Mus musculus: one gene and its partner. The protein of the gene in region 1 purifies or fractionates together with the protein of each later gene. This does not show direct contact. Links are inferred from orthologs where the notes say so. Each region holds a gene or a part of one and is shown on either strand. Other genes may lie near its edges. The genes, in order: Rpl7l1 and Rexo4.

Region 1 (4,238 bases):
TCAGACACTCCAGAAGAGGGCGTCAGATCTTGTTACAGATGGTTGTGAGCCACCATGTGGTTGCTGGGATTTGAACTCTGGACCTTCGGAAGAACAGTCGGGTGCTTTTACCCACTGAGCCATCTCACCAGCCCCGGACAGAGATTTTTGAGGAAACTTAAAAACAAGCATGGTTCTAGCGCAATCCATGGAATAGTTTAGAATACCTGGTATGCCTGGTGCAGGAGGCCGGAAGAGGTCGTGCCCTTAATCTCCTTTGACATTCATCTGGTAATGACATTAGCGTGTTGAGTGGACTAGTTTTTTAGTGTGTTCCAACATCATGTATCAGTCCTTGGGTACTCAACAATTCCTTGCAGAGTCCCACTGTAGTGAAGTGGTGTAGTGAGGTGCAGAAGAGACACAGAAAATAAGAAAAGTCTCCTGCCCATAAGCCAAAGGTGTAGGATAAAGGCTGTGGGTGGCGACCCTTTCTAGTGTTATATAGTGGCGTTGTCCTAGGCTAGAGCATAAAACAGCACTGTGCTAGCATAAAACAGCACTGTGCTAGTATGTGGCAATGGGAGTAAATTCTGAGAAACTTAAACAAGTGAAGGCTCTGAGATGGAAATGGAGCATTTCTAGTTTCTGGCTCCACTGTTTACCCAACTTGTGCTAAGGCTTTGTAAATCTTAAGGAGCCCCCTGGCGGCCACTGGGAACCCGTAGATATTCATTGTACGGATGAGGAAGCCGAGATGCAGAAAGGTGAGGAATTCAAAGGCTCACAGAGTAGGTGACACATTTTTATTTCCGCAAATCCTCCACAAATAACCGCCCACCAAATGTGAGTGCCACGTCGGTCCTTCAAGTCTCCGGGAATAAAAACCTCACCTAAGCAAGGCGGCCAACTTCTGTAGAGCCCGTGCCGTAGCGGAAGCTGCAGATGCATTGTGGAAAGCCTTTAAATTGTTCACAAGCGGCCGAGTTCGAGACCCTACAGCCTAACTGAAAAGGGTTGGATCCAGACGGGTGTCAGACTCTAGAGACCTTAGAAGGGATGGGAAGAAAACTGGAGGGTTTTTTGCCGGAATCCTGGCTAGCAAGACCTTTTCCCAGACGCTCACATTCGCTAAGGAATCTCAGGCTGCCTGAGTCCTCCTGCGGGAGCGAGAGTCCGTCTCTATGATACAAGAGACGTCGAGGCGGGCCTCTCTACCCCGCCCGGTGAGGCTGCGCAAGCGCAGTAGCTGAAGCACCGGAAAGATGGCGGAGGAAGGGTGAGTGTGTCTTCGGATCTCTCTATGGGGCTTTGAGGATCCGATGCCATCCTTTCTGTTTGTACTCTGGTGATACAAAAGGAAGCTGTGGGCTGTGGAGAGAAAAGAAAAAGGCTCCATAGTATGAAGTCAAGGTGGGGGCTGAGATGCTGTAGGGCTCCGCGACCAGGGATCGGGACGACTTTGGAAGCAGCGAGAAGAGGAACTGAGGTTCGGAGGGGCGAGTGGCTGCGTAGCGCCAGAGTTGAGTTCGCTCAGCTTGGCTGTCATGTCTTTCACAGTTTGGTACACACGTACAGTGTATTTTGATCGTATCACCTCCCCATCATCTCTTATTCCCCTGCGTCTTCCACCAAGCTCTTTCCCCCCAATTCCCCCTCCTGCTTTCATGTGCCCCCCCCCCCCACCTCATCCTAGCTCGACTTAATCATTACTCTTCTTGATGGATCTGTGATAGCCCCTTTCTGGATTTTACTAGAATTTCCTTGCCGCTAGTGACAGGTCATAGCCTACAGTTGTTAAAGCTCCACGGACCAAAACGAACCCAGAGAGCAAAGGTTTTTCCTGATTTTTAAAGGCTCTCGGGACGAGTGAGCATTACAGGAGCACGGCGAAGACTCATCAGAAACTTTAGGTCCCGGGAAGACCAGGATCTCGAATTGGTTTGGAAAGCCACCAAATGTTGGTTTGGCAATTTTCATTAATGTCAAATTTGTTCCTTTATCAGGGAAAGAAAAAAAATTCCTTTGGTTCCAGAAAATCTTCTGAAAAAGAGGAAGGCTTATCAAGCCCTCAAAGCCACTCAGGCAAAGCAGGCACTTTTGGCAAAGAGAGAGGTAATTCTGAGAGGGGGGGGGTTAGGATTTGTAGTGGACGGATTTTACTAAACGGTGTTCGTTGAACTAGATTTGTTATCAGATCCCTCACAGGTTTCTCCCTCATAGTCCTCCATTTAGCAAAGATTTACCCACCATCTTTCTGTGAGCAAAATGTTAGACCAGCCTTTAAGGGAAAAGTGAAGACATTTTCTGAATTCAAATTTAGTGGTAAAACCAAATTTGGCAGGGAAAAAAATAGATTATTTTAAAAATGTTTTGTTGGGGTTGGTTTGTTTCTTAGATGGGGTCTGTACATATGGTCTGGAATACTGTATGACCAGGCTGGCCTCAAACTAACAGATCAGCCTACTTAGGCCTCTAGAATGCTGCGATTAAATTGCTATCTGTGGCACACTTTTCAGCATTCTAGAAGGTTGAGACAGGAAAATGGAGAGTTTGGCTATATAAAGAGAACCTGTCTCAAACCAAAAGTATCCAACAATTTTAAAAGTTTATTTAGAATCACGTGTGGGCTGGAGAGATGGCTCAGCCCTTAAGAGCACTGACTGCTCTTCGGAAGGTCCTGAGTTCAAATCCCAGCAACCACATGGTAGCTCACAACCACCTATAATGAGATCTGACTCCCTCTTCAGGTGTGTGTAAAGACAGCTGCAGTGTACTTACATATAATAATAAATAAATCTTTGGGGGGAGGGTATAGGGAACTTTCGGGATAGTATTTGAAATGTAAATAAAGAAAATATCTAATTAAAAAAAAATTCCTGGTCATGGTGGCTCACCTTTAATCCCAGCACTCGGGAGGCAAAGGCAGGCGGATTTCTGAGTTCGAGGTCAGCCTGGTCTACAAAGTGAGTTCCAGGTCAGCCAGGGCTACACAGAGAAACCCTGTCTCGAAAAACCAATGTGTAGATTCTGCACACAGTATGTACAGGATTTTTGAACGCAAAGAGAAGAAAATCCTCTTGTTTAATGATGCCTAATATAGTGTTGAGTTTCCTAAACACCTGTATTAAATGTTACCAGCATATGAGCTCACCACAAACTTTTCTTCAGCCCTTAAGAGCACTGACTGCTCTTACATCTCTCAGTTCCATCTGGCCTCTTCATGTGCCCCTTAGGTAATGGTCTGCCCACTTTGCAGAACGTTTGAGAGCTGAGCTCTCTTACTAATGGTCCTGGGTTAACTGTGGAGGGGAAGAGATGCTGATGCGTGTCTTCTCTGCCACAGAGAAAAGGAAAGCAATTCAGGTTCAGACGACTAGAATCTTTCGTGCATGATTCCTGGCGACAGCAACGTGACAAGGTGCGTGTCCAGCGGCTGGAGGTGAAGCCTCGTGCTTTGGAGGTGCCTGATAAACATCCCTTGGCCTTCGTTATACGCATGGAAAGGTACAGTACCAGTGTGTTTTCAGAGTCCTTGGTTCAACTTCAGATGGCTCTGTAGGGAGACAAAGCCTAACCTACTACAGAAGATTGGCTAGGATTCGGAATTAGGACCATGGGTGACATAAGGACACTCAGGGTGAAGGTGGGGCTCTTTTTTTTTTTTTTTTTTTTTAGATTTATTTTATGTATATGAGTACACTGTAGCTGTCTTCAGACACACCAGAAGAGGGCATTAGATCCCATTACAGATGGTTGTGAGCCACCATGTGGGTGCTAGGAATTGAACTCAGGACCTCTGGAAGAGCAGCCAGTACTCTTAAGCACAGGGCCATCTCTCCAGCCCCCTAGTGATACCCTTTCTAAAGTAGTAACCACAACTTGACAAAAGACATGAAAGTAGGCCCGGCATTGTGCCACGTGCCGTTAAACCCAGCAATGAAGCACAGAGTAAAGGTTAGGATTGCTCATGGCCATGTGTCCTGTGACGGTTTAAAGACACAGGGCACCGTGCTAGAAGCATTGTCCACACTTAGCAGGCTTCATTGCCCTCAGCCGTGTGCCTTTTGGTAGAAAACCTCTGAGTTTGAAACTTCTGAGCTCTGCTCTCTTCAAGCTTCCTGAACTGGACTTCCCTGGCTTTGACGCCAGACTCAGACCTGCTGTGAATATGTTCCATGCTTTCACTACCCACCCACTGACGCAGTCTGGCTTCCCTAGGTAGACATACTTGTCCATATAGCCTACCATCCCCACTG
Region 2 (4,447 bases), on another chromosome or scaffold:
ACCCTGTGCACACTTTGGAAGCATGAGAGAGTTGATACTGGGTGCTTCATGGCTATCTGGTGAATTCCAGACATTCAGTATCTTTACTCAAAAGGTTCAACTGATGGGCCGCATGCTTCCTGCTCATTTGCTTTCTTCACTAGGATACCCTGACACCTCCTGCCACACACACAAATGCTAAAGTAAAATGCCTGTGTGTCTTTCCTGCTTATATCAGCCTTAGGAGGGAGGGGCCTTGTAGTCTCTCCAATCCAGCCTGCTTATATAACTCAGCAGAAGCAGTTAAACTCACGTCCCTTTACCCTTCAGCAGCTGAATCTTGTAGCCTGTCATGGGCTCACTTAGCTTGATCTGACACAACTCTCATAAACACACTTCCCATACCAGTTCCCAAAGAAATGTTCTCCTTCCCCTTTGCCCGCACCCTCCACTGTATAATCCCAGACCAAGGTTTTCTTTAGGTTTAAGGGAAGGCAGGAAAATCCTAGGCAGCAGGAAGCCAACCTGCCTTATAAGCATATCCCATCCAGGCTAGGTGTTATCACAGTGCTCATTAAGCAGGCAAAAGACACTAAGCAACACATAGTGCACTTCAGTCCCCCTAACTGTACAGATGACCACACTGAGGATAAAAGGATGCAAGAAAGCCATCAATTGGCAAAAAGGCAGGACTGGGTTTCACAGGAGTCCTTCTGGGTCCAGCACACACTATGAAAAAGTTTTTGTTGGCTCTTACCTTGTGCCAAGCTCTACACTGGGGCCCAAAGACACAGTATTATCTGTATAATAGGGTCTGCCTTTAGCAGCCCACACTCTAGGAGAAACAAGGGACGAACAAACAAATATCACAGGGTTGGGTAGAAGACTGTACCAGGGCCGAACGGTGGTGGTGAAGACAGTGGATCACCTGTTTCTGTGGATGTTCCAGGCACCACAGCAGAGTTGATACTTACTCAGTGGGCGTGGGCTGATTCAAGATAACAGCTGCCTCCGTAGCTTTCCACTTAGGCTTGAGAGCCCCTTGATGAGAAGAGATGTCACTATATGTCCTCTTCTTGGCTCCTTTCTTCTGCTCTGTTCCAGAGGTATCTGTGGGAGGTACTAGTATCTTCCTGTCCGTAGGTGCAGATGTAACAGAACCCCTAGTGCTCTTGGCCTTTTCTGTCCTCTGCTTGTCTCCCTTTGATTTATCTGAGGCCTTTTTTCTGTTCTGCTGGATTATTTGGGGGTGCATTTTGTCATCCATCTGAGAGACAAGAGGTTTTTCTGCGGCCTGTGACTTTTGTTTCAGTAGCTAATGGAATCAAAATTAAATATAAGCCACATTTATTATTTTGTTAAAAGCCACATTTAATTTTGAACTGACATACCACAGGTTCAAGAAACTTGTGTGTACATCTATTCTATCATCCATGCACTTCCCATCACCACTAATGGTGCTTTTCACTTCTTTATTTGGAGTTTCACTTAGTGACTTCCATGGTCAACACTGTGGGACACAGTGATCACTTCCGTTATCTCTGGAGGCGGCTACAGCTCAGAATCTAAGGAAGACCTGGAGGAAGGGAGTTCAATGGAAAGAAAGAAGTCCTGTGAAACCAGATAGGGCTGATCCATGTAGAGGAGAGGTCCAGGAGACCAATTTCTTCCTTGTGTTCAAATCTCCAGTTAAGACCACAACAAGATGGCAACCAGCTGAGAGATGTTGCAGTGAGTTTCTACTTATTCACTCCCCTAATACTTAAAAGGCCTGAAGGATTTAGATTCTTGTAGAAACCAGAGCCAAATCCAAGTTTCCTTTAGTAAACATGTCCTCCCTGCACACTTTACTTTCTTGGGAGAAAGAACAAGAACCAGCATACACAGCCCTGACTGTCCACAGGGTTTGGCTGCTCCTGGGTGTCCTGTTGGAAGATCCACACTAAGGAACAAGGTGGAGTGTTGTTATGGAGGCCAAGAAATTCCTTATTGTCTTTCTTACTGAGGCTCCATGACATACACTCCTCAAGACTCCCTAGAAGTCGACAGTGAAGGCATATTCAGCACCCCAGTTCTGCTGTTTACACCGTATGTGACCTACTTTCAACTCAAACCCTGTAAGTTATGTGTCACAATTTCCCCGTCTAAGAAACAAGGGCAGTAAAAGCATCTAACTAAGCTGGGCGTGGTGGCGCACGCCTTTAATCCCAGCACTCGGGAGGCAGAGGCAGGCAGATTTCTGAGTTCGAGGCCAGCCTGGTCTACAGAGTGAGTTCCAGGACGGCCAGGGCTACACAGAGAAACCCTGTCTCGAAAAAACAAAAACAACAAAAAAAAGCATCTAACTAGTATGGAAGAATTTATGAATGGGGGTAGGTATAGAGGCTCAGGACTAGGGAGGCTACCTAATGTAGGAGGACAACCACTAGTGTGGGTATACCCTGAGCTACAATAGTTCCAGAACCACTGGGCCAGAGTTCTGGGACATAGTTTAAGACGTTGCCAGGGTGGCAACCTAGATAAGTGATTCATAATTGAGAAAAAGAATTTGAATGAAGCAGAGGGCAACATCCCTTCCTCCTTCGGAGTCTGTGGCTACCTGACAGAAAGTTCGGGATGAAGGTGGCCTGTCGCCGGTCTCACCTCTTGCAACGCCTTCCAATTTTGAGAAAAGTTCTCGGGGGCCTTCGGCGGTCGGCCTGCCACAGCCGCCGGGTGGCTTCCCGGAACCCCACTTCCTGCCAGAGCTTTGCTCTTCCTGAACTTCTTCTTGGCTTTCTTCCTAGCGAGCTTCCTGATAGGCCCAGGTTGGGGCACCGGCGCGGTGGCCTTCGTCTTCATCTCCCCGCTCTCCGCAGTCGGAACCACCAGGGAAGAGACCGCGACTCCAGCAACCGCGCAAGCACACATTTCCCAGGGTGCAAGCGTGCTCCACTGCGCATGCGGGAACCCGGGTTGCTGTTCTCTTCGCGACCTGCTAGAAACCGAGACTGCATCTTTGGTTCCGCACGTATGCGGACTCTGCGACTAGCCCGCTAGTTAGCACTGGGGGCTGACAGCCCTGGCTAGCAGCGCTGCGGTTGGATACCCAGAGTTTGACGGAAGGGAGCCCAGACCTTCACAAAGATCTGGTGTCCCGGAAGGCCGCAAATGAGGAGACTCTGGGACACCGGAAAAGGCTGGGGGACTACTCTCGGTGTGGCACTCACGGGGGTACGGAAGAGGCGGAGGCGGGTCTTGTGTAGGTTGCCCTATGCACAACCACACACTGCGAATACCGAAGCCTTCCCCACGTCTCTGGTTTACTGACTGCAAAGGCACGCCAGCAGTGTCCGATATTAATGATAAAGCAAAATTTAATTGTGACTATATACGTATACATATACATTCTTAATCGCAGTGTTAATGACCAGCAATCTATTCTTGATCCTGATAGTGCAATACAGATGGGGCGGTCACAGTTGAATCGTTTGCCCTCGGGTTTCTCTGACTAGAGATAAGCAGCAAAGCCAACAGACCACGTAAGAAGGTTTGGGAGACTTGGTGGTGGCTGTTAGGAAAAATATCCAATCAGGACACCCCCTCCCCGGCACCCCCCAAGACCAAGTTCTGAGCACAGAGAAGGCTAGGCAGATTCCGCAACACACTTCAAATTGGCAGTTAAAGAGACTAGGCCTAAGGTATGGGCAAGTCCAAGCAACTCGATTACTAGTAGAAAAAAAAAAAAAAAATCCAGGCTCTAGCCTTCGCACCTGTTGGTATTCTGTCTGGACTCCACCCCCACCGAAACCTGGCAACAGCCAGATATGCTCCTCCACACAGTTACCTGGTAGCAGCTAGGTAGGACTGACCCTATAAAAGGGGCTGCTTGCCCCCTCATCCCTCTCTCTTTCTCTCTCACGCTTTTGCCTCTTGGCCCCTTGTTCCCCCCTTTCCCCATTCCCTTACCCCCTCTCTCCATATGCTCATGGCCAGCCTCCAATCCTCTCCTCCCCCTCCCCCTCCCCCTCCCCCTCCCCCTCCCCCTCCCCTCTCTGCCTTTGTCTCTACTACCCTCTTAACTCCCCTCCCCATGCCCCGAATAAACTCTATTCTATACTATACCGTCATGTGGCTGCTCTCTCAGGGGGAAGGGATGCTGAGGCATGGGCCCACTGAGGCACACCCTTCCCCCACACCCTGCCAGAACAGATCTTAGTAGCTCTTTCTCTTTTTATGATCACAACAGCACTCACTCAGATAATGGTTCTGGAATGCCTAGAGATAGAATAAGATAAAGCCCATCTACCCCAGAAATCCAGTGCGCTTTAAATCGAGCCTTCAAGCTCACTTGATGGTCTCTCTATCTTAGCAATGGGAGACCCCAGCATGCTGGACTTCTGCAGAATAAAACACTCTTTGCGGTTACATACTATTTGAGTCCAGGGTGCCAGTTTTGGGGGACCCTTACAAAAAGAGATTTATTTGC

What was found.
Region 2: the proteins of Rpl7l1 (region 1) and Rexo4 purify together in Homo sapiens (affinity purification with mass spectrometry; 3 studies listed by BioGRID and IntAct, with this or other methods). This does not show direct contact. The link is inferred for Mus musculus from reciprocal best matches to the Homo sapiens genes RPL7L1 and REXO4.

Annotation. Positions count from the first base shown.
Region 1 is NC_000083.6:46,779,639-46,783,876, reverse strand, and holds the start of Rpl7l1 (60S ribosomal protein L7-like 1), read left to right. Parts: upstream 1-1,220; 5' UTR 1,221-1,244; coding exon 1,245-1,258; intron 1,259-1,985; coding exon 1,986-2,094; intron 2,095-3,325; coding exon 3,326-3,486; intron 3,487-4,238.
Region 2 is NC_000068.7:26,961,430-26,965,876, forward strand, and holds the start of Rexo4 (RNA exonuclease 4), read right to left. Parts: upstream 2,958-4,447; 5' UTR 2,890-2,957; coding exon 2,623-2,889; intron 1,295-2,622; coding exon 954-1,294; intron 1-953.